2 linked regions of the Lytechinus pictus genome follow. The protein of the gene in region 1 interacts with the protein of each later gene in a pairwise test. Links are inferred from orthologs where the notes say so. Each region holds a gene or a part of one and is shown in the gene's direction. Other genes may lie near its edges.

What was found. The genes of interacting proteins can lie anywhere in the genome.
Region 2: the proteins of leucine-zipper-like transcriptional regulator 1 (region 1) and gamma-tubulin complex component 4-like interact in binary tests that used the Homo sapiens proteins (3 or more experiments, as listed by UniProt). The link is inferred for Lytechinus pictus from reciprocal best matches to the Homo sapiens genes LZTR1 and TUBGCP4.

Annotation. Positions count from the first base shown.
Region 1 is NC_087246.1:29,177,808-29,185,588, forward strand, and holds the start of leucine-zipper-like transcriptional regulator 1, read left to right. Parts: upstream 1-4,682; 5' UTR 4,683-4,873; coding exon 4,874-4,995; intron 4,996-7,718; coding exon 7,719-7,781. UniProt on the Homo sapiens protein: Substrate-specific adapter of a BCR (BTB-CUL3-RBX1) E3 ubiquitin-protein ligase complex that mediates ubiquitination of Ras (K-Ras/KRAS, N-Ras/NRAS and H-Ras/HRAS).
Region 2 is NC_087246.1:1,561,818-1,569,640, reverse strand, and holds the start of gamma-tubulin complex component 4-like, read left to right. Parts: upstream 1-4,753; 5' UTR 4,754-4,887; coding exon 4,888-4,965; intron 4,966-6,603; coding exon 6,604-6,745; intron 6,746-7,640; coding exon 7,641-7,753; intron 7,754-7,823. Other genes in the region: replication factor C subunit 2-like, read right to left, coding at 4,365-4,468. UniProt on the Homo sapiens protein: Component of the gamma-tubulin ring complex (gTuRC) which mediates microtubule nucleation.

The DNA of each region.
Region 1 (7,781 bases):
AACATTACCCCCCCCCCCCTCCTCCCCATATTAGCACTCCATGGCCATGAGCGTCGATAGATAACGAAGAGGAGAAGGAAGTAATGAATTATTCTGGAAGATGTGTCAAATAATTTTCACGTGCTTCTGAGACTCTTAATAACAATAAATCAAAATGAATGAGGAAGGAAGTTCAACGCACAACCATCCGTTTTCTCTCAGTTGTGCTTCCTTTAATTATTCTAGGAATATATAATTATGTACATGTATCTATATGAATATGTCCGTTTAACCTGTACGGGCCTCTAATGAAAACACTATTATGAAACATCTGGATTATCATGCACAAGGGGCTGTAACCCCGAATTAACAGGATTAGGCTCACAATCATGAATTACATTCATATATAATTATAGGCCTACATTACAGTTTCTATAGAAGTGAATAAAATATTGTCAACTATTTACATTCGATTGTGCGTGTGCTGCAAAATTATTTTTTTTAAAATTACCTATCAATTATCCAATGTCTAGTATCATCTTCCAGTGTACTCCCATGGCCGTACGCAGCGGGGGGGGGGGGGGGGGGGGGGGCAGTGGGCAGTTGCCCCCCCCCCCCCCCCCACTTAAATTTTTTACTGAATTTTTTTACACTTAATTCACCAAAAGAGTGCTCAATGTCCTTCAATTTCACTTTAGAAAATGCGAAAGCGCCCAAATGACAAGCTTGGTCTATTTACCCCCTCGATTATGAGTTTCTTCTAAAATTTTTACACGTCCTCCCCCCCCCCCCCATCACCATACGGCCCTGTTTTACGAAATGAATCTTAGGAAAACAAACAATATGTTCATTGTTCCCTTTCATTATGCCCTATTTGAATTAAATCACACTTTCGATGTCCAATACTACATTTCTTTGTTTATATTTTCATGGGTTATTATCTTTGGGCTCCCTTTTCATCGATTTCACAAGACTTCGGATTTAGCCTTTTCTCAAACTCTCATATTGGCGTTTTGCCTGCAGGCACTGAGCCCGCAGTTTATCAAAAGTGGTCTGAATTTTAAGCCCATATCGGGGCTGCATAATGGAGATGTGCACTGAGTGCATTTCTCAACTTTGGGCAGAATTTGCATTTGTGGTAGTCTTGTCTTACACCCACTTGGTGATTGAAGTTTCAATCAGGGTCTGTGCTTGCAGACTAATCACCAATATCCCTTGTATAGGTCATCTAAGGTCAATAAGTTTCGGCGAGGTAAATATTCACATTGTTGACTTGTGACTCATGAGAGTACTAAAATAGGGGGTTTTGTTTAAGAGAATTATGGGTGATACGGGTGATATATGAATATCCTGATAAATATGCAAGGTCGGACATTATTTCAGCTCCGAGAAGGCTAAAAAGTGCTGCTAGACGGTCATTATCTGATTTTGATAAACCTTCAGTGTTATGTTTTGTTTGATTTTACAATTTTTTTTTACATTTTTTTTTCTTGGGGTGGATCATTCTCTTTAATTGTAGCCTATTATGTATGATCATGAATGAATTTAAAAAATGATTTATTAATCATGATTGATAAGCGGCAATTATCTATGAGAAAAATAACGAATATCAATGAAATAAAGACAAGCCGACACAATTTATTGTTCAATGTCTATGTTAAGTATTCATCACACAAAAATACGACGGATATATTGATAAATTTGTCGTAATACTGATCGTTTCTATTGCCGTCGATTATACAGATTATTGGTACATTATTGAACGCGAATTTTTTTGAGGATATGTTTTGGTTTTCTAATCCTTTTTGAGGAATAATCTCATAGAATTCATCAAGTGCACATCGACCAAAACACAATATCAACTGTCCGGGGGGGGGGGTTCAAGGTGATAAGGGTGTCATTTATAGCATCAATTTGTATAGGATTTACTATTTGTTTGATGTATTTTGGAAAATCTCTTATTGTTCAGTTTCGAATGATTGACGCTCAAAATATTATACAAATGTAAATATGCTGAGATTACAAGTAGAATTTATTCTTACTATCATAAATTATTATGCTTTTTTGAAGGTCATGTTATTTACTTGCAGGGGCGGCGGAACGTATTTTCGTATGGGGGAGCCAAAAAGGACACTTATATGTCAAAATTGGCATTATATATATATATATATACATATATATATTCACCATAAGCTGCGTGAAGTAGTTGTGTGTTTTGTAGTGTAGTAATTAAGTTGAGCAAAGCCTTTTTAAAGTGATTTCTGATTGACAAAATATGTATTTAGGCTTTTATTAATAAGACATGAAAAGTAAACATTCCAAGCAGTTTTTATTATCATTAAAAAGTTGTGCATCTAACTAAAGATGACGCGAGTGCGAAGCGCTACCTGAAATGTTTTATATAAGACCAGAAAAAGGCTCCTGATAATTAAGGTTTGCATGTAGTGACTGATTAAAAGGATACATATCTCACCAATCGAATGCGAGCGCGAAGCGCGAACTGAAACTTTGTAATATTCCAACCTGAAAACTGGACATTCTAAGCGCTCTTTGTAATCAATAACAAAATGAGTACTATACCTTTTTAAATAATAATTGATGCGAGCGCAAAGCGAGTGCTAAAAATTGTGTGATTTTGCAACCTAAAATGCATTATGTTTTTTACTTCAAAAAGGGTGTATCATTTTGAAAAAGGGATTTTTTTTTCCTCAGTGAGGAATTAATTGTTTATTTATTCAAAAAATATTTTTTTGGGGTAGGGAAAGTGCCACCTGCCACTCCCCCCGGTTCTGCCGCCCATGTTTACTTGATATTGATAAAAGATGATACTGAGTTCTGGGGCGACTTTCTCCATAAAGTACCGTAATTTCAGGAAATTACAGGAAATAAAACAATGATAAAAATCACAATATAGCCTACGCCTGTTTGATTGTAACACATTTCAACATTCATGATATTTATAAAATTATTTGCTTTTTCATGCATGCAGATGTAGCCAGTGGCGTAACTACGGGGGGGCATGGGGGCACGTGCCCCCCAATCGGCTGGCAAAAAAAAAGGGGAAAATGAGAAAAAGAGGGAAAAAGGAAGAGAAACGTAGTGGGGAAAGAATATATTATTGTTCATTATAATGTTATATTATATTGTGTTATATTACATAAGAAGCATTTGTTCATAACTTTATGGAACATTATTTGCTTCATTGTGTCTTAATTGTTCATGGTGCTCGCATAGACTGTTTAACGAGATATATAATCCTGTTGTACTAAAACCTCCCGTTTTCAAATCAATATACAACAAATATATTTTTCCTTGCAATTCGAGTTATTATTGTGTTATGTAGTGACATATTCTTCTTTTTCATGACTACTGAAAGTGATTGCCCTATTTTAAGGTCTTAATATAAAACATTTCCTGTCCGTGCTAACGTTCGCATTAGTGGATTGGTGAGATTTCTGCTCTTCATGAACTCCTGAAATCAGTCCTTTAAATGAAATTTTTCTGATCTGAATATATAAAATTTTCAGCTCGCGCTTCACGCTCGCATCATTTAGTTAGTGAAATGCAGTTGCAGTATTTGATTAGTAAGATGCGTATTTTAATCATGATTACAATGACTACAAAAGGTGCTTCATGATCTGTGTTTAGATGTAATTCTAATAAAATCAGCAAAGGATGGCATGAGCATTAGATGACTATGGTGAGATATTTATACTCTTAATGGATTCTAAAATATAGTCTTTAAAATTTCCCTGTTTAGGGTCAATGTATATGAAAATTTTAGCTCGCGCTTCGCGCTCGCATTGTTTGTTTAGCGAGACAGTTATGTATCATGATTACAAAAAAAAAATTGCTTATAATGTCCCTTTTTAGCTCTGAATATCAAAAATTTTCAGCTCGCACTATTTAATCAGTGAGATACATATCCGTTTAATGGCACTGCATGTCCTTAAATATCTCTATTAGGTCAGTATACCTGACAACTGAGCGCGCTTCGCGCGCTCCCTAAGTGACTCGAAATTTTTGCTGGTGCCCCCCCCCAATGCCGTGACCCACGGTACGCCACTGGATGTAGCTAAAAAGGACTGAAAACATGACGCTCGCTCTTGCTCACTGCTTGCAGTGTGGATGAAAACAATTCGATGCATTCACACACTGGCACCAAGAGTGAGCAAACATTATGGCAAAAATGGATAAAAAGGAAAGGAAACGGCAATTAGGTATTTTCTGAATATTATGTCAAAATCTATCACAAGTTTAGATTATATTTTTCATGTTATGTCTTCTCAAAGTTCATTGCTCGTTAACGTGTGACAAGTAGATCCCGTAATTTATTGAAATTAAGATAAAGGTCATGAATTAACTTTTTGTTTTTATCCCTATTCAGGAAATTTAACGCGTTAATAATTTTTTTTAAAGAGCTTGTTTAATTATGATCACCAGGGATGATTCAAGTTGTTGTACCATTGTTCGAAATAAATTTACAATATTTTTTTAAAGATTCCAGCCATGGCAAGACATTTATCGAGATGTATGCTTATAATACATTAATACTAATTTATGATAGACATATCTAGATCTTATTCTAGTATGATACGGTAAGTACCGTAGGCCTATTGTTTTTGTTTTTTTTATCTGAGGCATGCAAGGAGGAGGCCGCGGGAGGCCGAGGGTCGGTCAAAAACTGTTCTCATCGTGGACGCCAGAGGGCTGAAAATAAAATGGCGACACCCATTGACCAAAAATTGAGCAGTGCTATATTCATGATATTGCAGGACTGGAATTAATTGATGCATTCAAAGCACATAATTTTACTCTCTGCGATCAAATTTACGTGATTGGTATCCTACAGCAATTGTTGACCAGGTTTTCATCAGGATTTATGTCATAAACTATGGCAGATGGTCGTAAATACGAGCCTCACTGCTGGCAAGACGTGACAATTGACTCTGGCCCATATGAAACCGTGCATCGCTGGAGACAGATGCCCGAGTGTGATGAGTTTGTTGGCGCAAGGTGAGACAGAAATTAGGGGAGGGGGCGGGGCGGGGTGGGGTGAACTGAAGCAAGACATAGTCCAGCTGGATGGGGCGAAACAGACGAAACAAAGTTATGATGGGGTGACCATAATTTGTGCATATTTTGAAAATTATAAAGTTGATTTTCAATCAAGAATTTCACATAAAATTCATTAAAATCATAAATATCAGGCAGAAGGGCAAGATCATAAACTAAAGTCAAATTTGCTTGACAGAATTATAAAGTGCCGGTAGGTCAAGGGTTTTGCTGGTATCGTGATCTCAAAATTCCATGACAATCGACTAGTGCACGCTAAAACTAAAAAAAATGTAACCTTAATTTGCGCACAATTGTTTTGCAAAGATTTAACGTTAGAAAAGAAATCAAGCAGACCAAGGTAAGGTTATTGTATCAGATGGAAGTTAAAATGCCATAAATTTGGTTGGTATCACATTTACTTCTTTGGAGACCTCTCCTTGCAAACTAGCGATTTCTTGGTGCATGTGAAGATGACTCGAGAAGTTCAGATTTTCTCGGAGTGGACGCACAAGGTAACAAAATTTGCCAATATTTTCACAAAATGAGACCCTACCTTCAAAATAATTACCATGCTAGGTAATTTTGGGTCGCTTTCTCTGTTGGTAATATTCAGTTATTCAAGATTTTGATTAGATATTGAGATATTCGACCCTGCACAAAATTAGGTAATGCACGAATTAAGGTCACACCAACATAATGATTTGACTGAGATTTTGAGCAGTAGAGGTGCTGTCCAGCACGGTAGCCGGACTAGCCAGGAGGCTCCTTTACTACATTGTACGTAGGGGCCTAGCCAATCTCCACAGAACCAGGGACGCAGACGGCATGCCATTGCAGTACACGCACCATCATTTTTCCCACGATTCAAGCTCCTCAAAATAACAACTTTAGGGTTTTGAGCCCAAACTTGTGTAAATGGGCTACAATATATCCTTTTAAACCCTTTTGGCCAATATTTTTATAAATTTAAAGTGTAATTTTGTGTTGAACTATAAAAATGTTTGCCAAAAGGGTTTAAAGGATATTGTAGCCCAATTGCAAAAGTTTGGGATCAAAACCCTAAAAGAAAAGTTGTGATTTTGAGGATCTTTATTCGTTGGAAAAATGACTTTGATTTAGCAGAACACATAATGACAAAGACACTTTAAATACTTAATATGGACATCAACCTCAAATTTTGCATACCATATGAAAGTTTATTAGTACTCACTTAAACATTTTTGTAATAAGGTGTGTGACAGTGTGAATCAAATTTGCAAAATTTATTATTTCATTGCAGAATGTAGACAGGAATAACCGTCGTTTCTGGGGATTTATTCAACAATTTCTGACATTTTACTGTAATCCCCATTTACCGACGGTAGGGTGTACGTGTGGGCTCGCATGTGTTCTCATTCCCTCCCTTTTGTCAATTCACAGTCCAAAGTTTGATGTAATTTTACACATCGAATTTACAATCTAAGGATGTATAAACAACAAACTTTTAATTGATGATATTCCAACATTTAAATACTTTAAACGATATAGATGAAAAAGGCATGAAAAATATACTTTACCGATGTTTAATTGGGTTGAACACGATAAAAATTTTCAAAATGGCAGCCAAACTATAAAATATTTACAAACGAACGTCAACAATCACGAATGTGATATCGATATTGCTTTCGATATTATACGATCTGCTCCATATGCGAACGAAACCGAAGATAAACGATACTAGTTATACTAGTACGAGTACTAGTTATAATCGCGATATATCGATTCGAGACATTAAGTTAATAACGACAATGACGTCATTCAAGATGGCAACTTGCAAGAAAAACCGTCAGGTCAGGTGAAAATGTCTTAGATGACAGATTTCTCAATCATCCAGAGGATTTTTTTCAATAACTCCGGCCCAAGGTATGCAATTACTTAAGTTATATATATTTCCCTGATAATGGAAACCATGAAACTTTCAATTTTGCTTAAAAAACAGTTTTAAATCGCGATCTATAAAACGCTAGTTCACTATACGTTGGCTGTAGGTACGGGGCCCCATCCCCTTCAGTCTATGTATGGTGAGTGGAGCCAACGTAGTTCAGCGGAACAACCAAAATACAGAGACTGAAGCTTTTGGTCTATGCAGAATGTAATCTGCAATGTTAAAGATAAATACATGAACCAGCAGTGGTAACGATCTCAAAATGAGTTCAAACAGTATCTAATAAAATTACCACCCAAGTGTTTGAATATGTATAAATAAAAAAATATGTACCAAATAGCTCAGAAAAAATATCTGGAATTGCTGAAAAATGAGCAAAATAAGCAAGGAATTCCATAATATGTATGGTATTTTTATGAAAAATATACACTTTCCCACATACATGTATGTACTTTTGTGTAAGTGATCATCAGAATTACCGGTTTTCAGCTAAGATTCAATGATTTCTTAGAGATAAGTTTATATCAATGTACCAGAACTAGATCTTTGATAATATCGTGGCATTTAACCTTGATTTTAAAGACTTTATCATATAGTAATTGTTTACTGCAACTTCTTTCTTTCCCCTTTAAGTTTATACCTTCATTGCTTATTGAATGTTATTGACCACTGTCTAGATGTGTATTATAGGTTTAAAAAGAAATCATGTTGGTGATTTATTACGTGTGAATATAATTCTCTTTCTTCACTGTTACAGGAGGAGCAAGCATACCGTTGTGGCATACAATGATGCTGTCTATGTGTTTGGTGGTGACAATGG
Region 2 (7,823 bases), about 28 Mb from region 1:
ACTCGTCTACATTGATTTCGATATTATAAGCGTCATTATAAAATTTAACAAAAAGAACGCCTTGAATAAAGGCCAAAAAGCCTAGAGACTCGTGAGCGTCATGTGACAACTCGCCCTGGATTTGCATGTACAGGATCCTATGGTGACAACAGCTGTCGCAAGAGTTGGCCAGAAGAGGGGATGAAAACACAAAATTTGGAAAAAAACGGTGAGTACCCATTTTACATTATAAATATAATTAAAATTAGTAAACATGGTAAATTAACAATAACATATAATAAATAAGTTAGACCTAAATTTAGGCCGTAATTTAGAGGAATGGGCTGGAAATTCAAGGCCAAAACGTACTCGTTTGGAGTCGCCGCCTTTTTTAACACTGCTTTGAGTTTGAATAGGGGTGTCGCCTAGAGTGCCCTGGGGCCTGTTGCATGAAATGGTCTTTCGTAGAACCATTCTACGTAAGAACGAGATATCGCTCAACTGTTTCACAAAGCCAATTTGGGCGATACGAAGAATGGTCCTTGGAAAGACACCTCCAGACATGTCCTACGTAGGCATGATCTTCTTTGCACACCGCCTGCCACCGTCGGCATTGAGAGAAAATGCGTTTACGGCAAGCCACACTGACATATCACCTTTAAACATTTTTTGGGTTGCACACTGATGCATTTTATCTGGGATGGCGCCAAGTTATTTTTTATATGGGGGCTAGTTGTCATCAATTGCAGGTCGTCTTTTTGCACGGCAAGACGACCAAAAACAGATGTCATTTTAACTTCTCCAGGCTTTATATGTCCGGGGGTAATGTAGGCCCCAATATTTTTTTTTAATTAATATGTTTTCTTTTATGGTCCGTCCTATCCCCACACCATTTCCATTATTTTTTTTGTTGAAATATCGAAATGGGCGGCACTATCTCTCTGACCCCTCATGCTTTCTCATTACAGATAATTAAACAACAGGAAAACAAATTTCTTTAAAAGAAATTATGTAAGGTAAAAAAACGTGTTTATAACGTTCAGCAAAAAAAAAAACGATACAAAACTAAAATGTTTAACATGGTAAATCATTCATTTATTTTTATTTCATTTTCATTATGATCATTTTTTTTTGCTGAGATTAATTTTAATCAATGAAAATTAATTGTCGGATTTGGGCTTAACTTGAGATGTACTGAAACAGTGAAACAAAACAAAAAATCTGCAGTAACAAAATACCTAATTGAATTTAAGATACAGATTAGGCCTATAGCTTACGAATCCATCACAATCATTACAAATGAAGATAAGCTAGTTCATTAAAGAAAAGATTATGGAAATGAGTCCATACAAAGAGGCGCATTTTCACTTTAGGGTAGGCCCCTTTAGGCCCCTACTAAAATGTTAAAGCAATAATGTATTCTCTACTCCTCAACTTTGAAATGTTGAACATATATATTTTTTATATTCTTAAACCTTATTCTTATATAAGCTTCCATAAATTAAGTGATCAACTTTAAAGATTACCAACGTTTATGATCATTGTAATATTAGCATTATTTCTGTAAATAGTATTTTTTCCATTGCGGATTGCACACATTTTTCTATGTTTTAATTGTTATTGCAAAGCACTACTTTATCCACTTGGACATGTTTGCAGCAATTTTCATATTTTCCTTGTCTTCGGTTACTCATCATGCAACTGAGGTATGTTTATACTCTAAACACTCACATTTGTATTTCTTGCGTTATATCTGACAAATAAAATAAATAAATTAGATTTTTCACATGCAGCCTCTCATATTTTCCTTTTTAGTCTCATACAATCAGACACTGTTGATTTTGTTTACTCCATTCAAACCCTATTTTTACCTCAACAGATAACATATTAACGCATAATTTGCAAAATCATCATTATATATATGTTTTCTATAATAAATCAGTATATTGAACTAATAAAATGTCGAAATTACTTAGTTAAATCAATTTTTATGTCGGACAAGGGTCTCTTTCGTAGAAATATCAATGAAAGGTGTCTCTAAAAGGACACCGTGTTCTAAATAAGTGAAATAATGAAAATTTCGATTTTATCCAGTTATGTTTGTGAATCTTGAAAGTTTTTTCTCTTTTTACCTCATAAAGTACGCTCCATACATCAATTCTACAATCAGTAATAAATAAAACATTATTTGATCCCCTTTTATTGAAATATATGATTTTATGAAAAGTCATCAATCCGAAATAAAAGGTTCAGGTGACGATGAAGACTAAATATTTTTCCGATACTATCGATATCAAACGATGTCGCGGACTTGAAAGACAAAATTGCCTTCGTGAAACAGGGGCATGTTGCATGACGAGATGAGCGATACGTAGGAACGTCCTAGGACCATTCTTCCGAGATAGGAAGATTGGCGACAAATCAGCGCTTTCCGTTTCACGAATGCAATTATTTTGTCTTTCAAGTCCGTGACATCGTTTGATATCGATAGTATCGGAAAAATATTTAGTCTTCATCGTCACCTGAACCTTTTATTTTGGAATGACGGCTTTTCATAAAATCATATATTTCAATAAAAGGGGATCAAATAATGTTTTATTTATTACCGATTGTAGAATTGATGTATGGAGCGTACTTTATGAGGCAAAAACAGAAAAAACTTTCAAGATTCACAAACATAACTGGATAAAATCGAAATTTTCATTATTTTCTTTATTTAGAACACAGTGTCCTTTTAGAGACACCTTTCATTGATATTTAAACGAAACAGACCCTTGTCCGACATAAAAATTGATTTAACTAAGTAATTTCGACATTTTATTAGTTCAATATACTGATTTTTTATTGAATACATATATATAATGATGATTTTGCAAATTATGCGTGAATAAGTTATCTGTTGAGGTAAAAATAGGGTTTGAATGGAGTAAACAAAATCAACAGTGTCTGATTGTATGAGACTAAAATGGAAAATATGAGAGGCTGCCTGTGAAAAATCTAATTTATTTATTTTATTTGTCAGATATAACGCAAGAAATACAAATATGAGTGTTTAGGGTATAAACATACCAGTTGCATGATGAGTAACAGAAGACAAGGAAAATATGCAAACATGTCCAAGTGGATAAAGTAGTGCTTTGCAATAACAATTAAAACATAGAAAACGGTGTGCAATCCGCAATGGAAAAAATACTATTTACAGAAATAATGCTAAATATTACAATGATCATAAACGTTGGTCATCTTTAAAGTCGATCACTTAATTTATGGAAGCTTATATAAGAATATAAGGTTTAAGAATATAAAAAATATATATGTTCAACATTTCAAAGTTGAGGAGTATAGAGACTACATTATTGCTTTAACATTGCATAGGGGCCGAAAAGGGCCTACCCTACGATTTAAAATGCGCCTCTTTGTATGGACTTTCCATAATCTTTTCTTTAATGAACTAGCTTATCTTCATTTGTAATAATTGTGATGGATTCGTAAGCTATAGGCCTAATCTGTATCTTAAATTCAATGAGCTATTTTGTTACTGCAGATTTTTTGTTTTGTTTCACTGTTTCACATCTCCAGTTAGCCCAAATCCGACAATTAATTTTTATTGATTAAAATTAATCTCAGCAAAAAAAAATAATTATAATGAAAATGAAATAAAAATAAATGAATGATTTACCATGTTTAACATTTTAGTTTTGTATCGTGTTTTTTTTGCTAAACGTTATAAACACGTTTTTACCTTAGGCCTACATAATTTATTTTAAAGAAATTTGTTTTCATGTTGTTTAATTATCTATAATGAGAAAGCATGAGGGTCAGAGAGATAGTGCCACCCATTTCGATATTTCAAAAAAAAAATTAATGGAAATGGTGTGGGGATAGGACGGAGAATAAAACTTAAAAGGAAAAATATTTATAAAAATATTTGGGCCTACAACATTACCCCCGGACATAATGCCCGGAGAAGTTAAAATGACATCTGTTTTTGGTCGTCTTGCCGTGCAAACAGACGACCTAAAATTGATGACAACTAGTCCCCCATATAATAACTTGGCGCCAAAAATGTTTAAAGGTGATATGTCAGTGTGGCTTGCCATAAACGCATTTTCTCTCAATGCAGACGGTGGCGGGCGGTGTGCAAAGAAGATCATGCCTACGTAGGACATGTCTGGAGGTGTCTTTCCAAGGACCATTCTTCGTATCGCCCAAATCGGCTTTGTGAAACAGTTGAGCGATATCTCGTTCTTACGTAGAATGGTTCTACGAAAGACCCTTTCATGCAACAGGCCCCAGGCCCCTGGGCCTGGACCCAAATAATTCTAGAATTTCTACCAACAAATTTTATAGCTAATGGGACCAAGGGCGAAGGCTAAGTCACTTACCAAGGCATCTCATAGGAAGTCGATTTTCCAGCTCCCCCCGACTTTCCAGATTCTCCTGACTTGGATTTAGGATCCAAAGAAGTGCTAGATTTTACTTCATCCATTTTAATATGTACTTTAATTTATTTTTAACTAATAAAAACGTTTATGATATTAAGAGATAACAGTAGCTCCACACAAGTTTCGCGCGATTGTGAAATACAGGCTCGTACTAAAAAGTAGATTTTATTAGGTACTTTAAAATAAAATATGAAAATAAATAATAAAAATTAAACTGCAAGACGAAAATAAAATAAATTCTACAACTATAAATTATTTTAAAGGAACAAAGAATCATCATACATCTTTATAAATCAATATAAATTATTCAAAGAACAACTTCTTCTAGTAGGCAATAGACTCTATCTGCAGACAATTCATTAACCTAATGTGAAACGGGCCTGATAAATATTCAATTCCGACTCTGCAGAAGTCTGTATCCATGATTTTTCTCTTCGATTCGATCATCTAGATTGCAACCAAGATGTTACATGACTTACTGATGGCTCTGAATGGATTTCCTGGGGGTATTTTTATGGAACATGGGCACAGTGATATACAGGTAATTAGACTCCAGTCCCATTCATTCCAATTGATGTTAAGCTAATTTCGAATGAATGAATGAATGAATGAACGAACGAATGAATGAATGAAGTACATTTATTTCCAATGATAAATAAAGCATCAATACATTTTAAGAACTTGAACAAAGCAAAAGAGGTAGCAACTAAGAAAGCACAGCTTGTGAATGTGATGAGTGACAAGTGAAAGGTGCTGGTAGGTTTTACTTTTATTTTTTTAGGTGCTTTGCTTCCTGTTTTAGATAGATGATCTAGGCCTAGGCCTACGTCGAAATGAAATTGAAAATGAAAGGTTGGAACTGTCTTGTGGTAAATATTCTTGTTCTTGTTCTTCTCCTTCTTCACTTCCTCATTTTGTTTTTCTTCTCCTCCCCTCTAGTGATTCTTCCCCTTGGGCTTGGCATTGTCTTCGGTCTTCCTCCTTTTTCCTCTTCCTTTAGCTCTTCCTCCTCTTCCTCAGGTGTCCCTCTTCATCTTCCTCCTACAGCCTACTCATCCTTTTTGTCTCCCTCTTCTTCCTCGTCTTCCTGTTCTCTTACTTCTCCGCTGTCTTCTTCTTTCTTTTCTTCTCTGCTCTTAATCTTCCTCCTCTTCCTCAGGTGTCCTCTCTGTCTTCCTCTTCCTTCTCCTCATCCTCTTTGAAAAAGTCTTTGTCTTCTTCTTCCCCTGCTCCCCCCTCCTGCTTGTTCTCACTTTCCTCTTCTTCTCCTCTTCTCTTTTTTTTCTCTTCTTCCTCCTCCTGCTCCTCCCCTTCTATTCCTTCTATTTCTTATTCTTTCTCCTCTTTCTCTATCTACTTCTTCCTCTTCTTCAATTTTTCTTCTTCCATGATTCTTTGAGTTAATCAAATTAAGATTATTGTATTGCAATTTTTGATCCGATTGTAAACTCTATTTAAAATCCTGTGCAATAATATAACGTTACCCACCACCCTTTTATGTGGAAAAGAAGTGAGCAAGTAAGTGATAGTTTGCAGTACTTAGAAACATTGTATTAAGCATTATATAAATGTTGTATTTTATTATTATTCATAAAGTAAGTAATGTTTGCCTGAAATTGGTTTAATTAAGACTGAATAAACTGTGCATTGAGAGTAGTAAAAAATCATTGATTTTTTTTTATTGAAATAAGAAAATGAATAAAAATTGCTTGGTCAGTGGTTTCAATGAGATTGGATTGGACCATAGAGATGAGATACATGGTGGGGCTAATGAAATTCACAGTTTTAATTCAGCCCATCGGCAAAATTTTAACTTTGTCAAAATTCATCATTTGCACAATCCTCTTATTATTTGATGAAATAAGGGCACCAACAGAATAAAATACTTTGAAAAAAGACCTTGCAGTTCATCCTCAATTATGGCAATCTTTGGAAAACATTATTTTTTTGGAACAATAAATTAAAGAAGAAATTAGAAAAACCTTCACACCTTAAATGAAGCCAGCAGTACGTGATTTGTTCATAAACAAACGGTATAATCTAAACTAACATTGTAATCTTGACCAGGAGTGGATCCAGGATATATCAGAGGCAGAGGCCCAAGAAATTTTGGAAAGCATACTTGAATCTCAAGGCATGTATCTGTGTTTATTATCATATTTCTTTATTTTGCCTCTAGGTTGTTCCAGATCTTCCTTTTATCCATGTGAGTGAAGTCAGTGTACTCAACAGAGTTTGTCGTTTAGGGGCTATTTATAAGAATCTCCAGACCTTCATCAAAAGATACAGTGGCAGTCCTTACTTAGGGAAACATAATCAAGGTAAACTTATACAAGACAGAAGGATTTTTTTTCTATTTTGAGGTGCTGTTATGCTTTGACCTACATTGAAATTCAGTTTGTAGACTTGGCACACCCCTCTGTGAGAAAATTATACTTCCTCCCAGTTTGATCTTGTTAGCAATAGAGAACAAAATAGCAATCATTGGATTGTGCATTCAATCTCATAATAATAGTAATAATAATAATAATACTCAATATTTATAACGCGCTTTTCCCACATGGCCCAAAGCGCTCACAATTTCAGTTAACATATTTATACAAACAAAAAAGCAGAATGACATATTAAATGAAGGCAGTTGCCTAGAACAAAAGAGTTTTAAGGGACTTCTTAAAGGACTCGATTGTTGTGGATTGTCTTATTGTGAGAGGGAGTTTGTTCCATTCCATAAAAGCTCCTATTAAGTATTATTAGATACAATAGATCTTTTCAGAAATCAATCTTTCAGTTAGAAAGTTGATTTGTTTCAGGGAATTTTTATTATATTAGATAGGGAAGGGGACCCGAGATAAACAGAAATAGCTGGGCATAAATATTAATAATGAAACCTTTAGAAAATTCTTTAAATAGAAAGATTTCTTTCAACTAACAAGTTGTCCTTTTTGGCAGTGTTTAGTATTAGGTGTATTAGAAAAATAAGGTAAGTAATCTCCTACAATACATCTCATTAGCATTAAATTGGGAACTATATATGCTATTGTTCAGTCGAATCAACACTGAACATTATTGTTCTGCAACTTATATAAAATAATTACTAAAATAAATTCTCTCACAAACAGTCATGAAGTTTGGTTTCCTTTGTTTTAATAAATCATGAATATGAGCAAATAGTAAGATTGGTCACACTTAATGTGAAATGTTCTTGTCTCTTTTCAGAAATTAAGCCAGTGGATAGACTCCCTGATGGATTGTATCTCAGGACATTCTGTTCAGGTTTAGACAAGGTCCTGGAACCATACAGAAAAGCTCTATTAGACCTGGAACAGGATGTAGGTATTATTGCTTGATATCCACTTAGTCTAAGTATACCAAATAGTCTAATTCTTATGGTCTAATTTT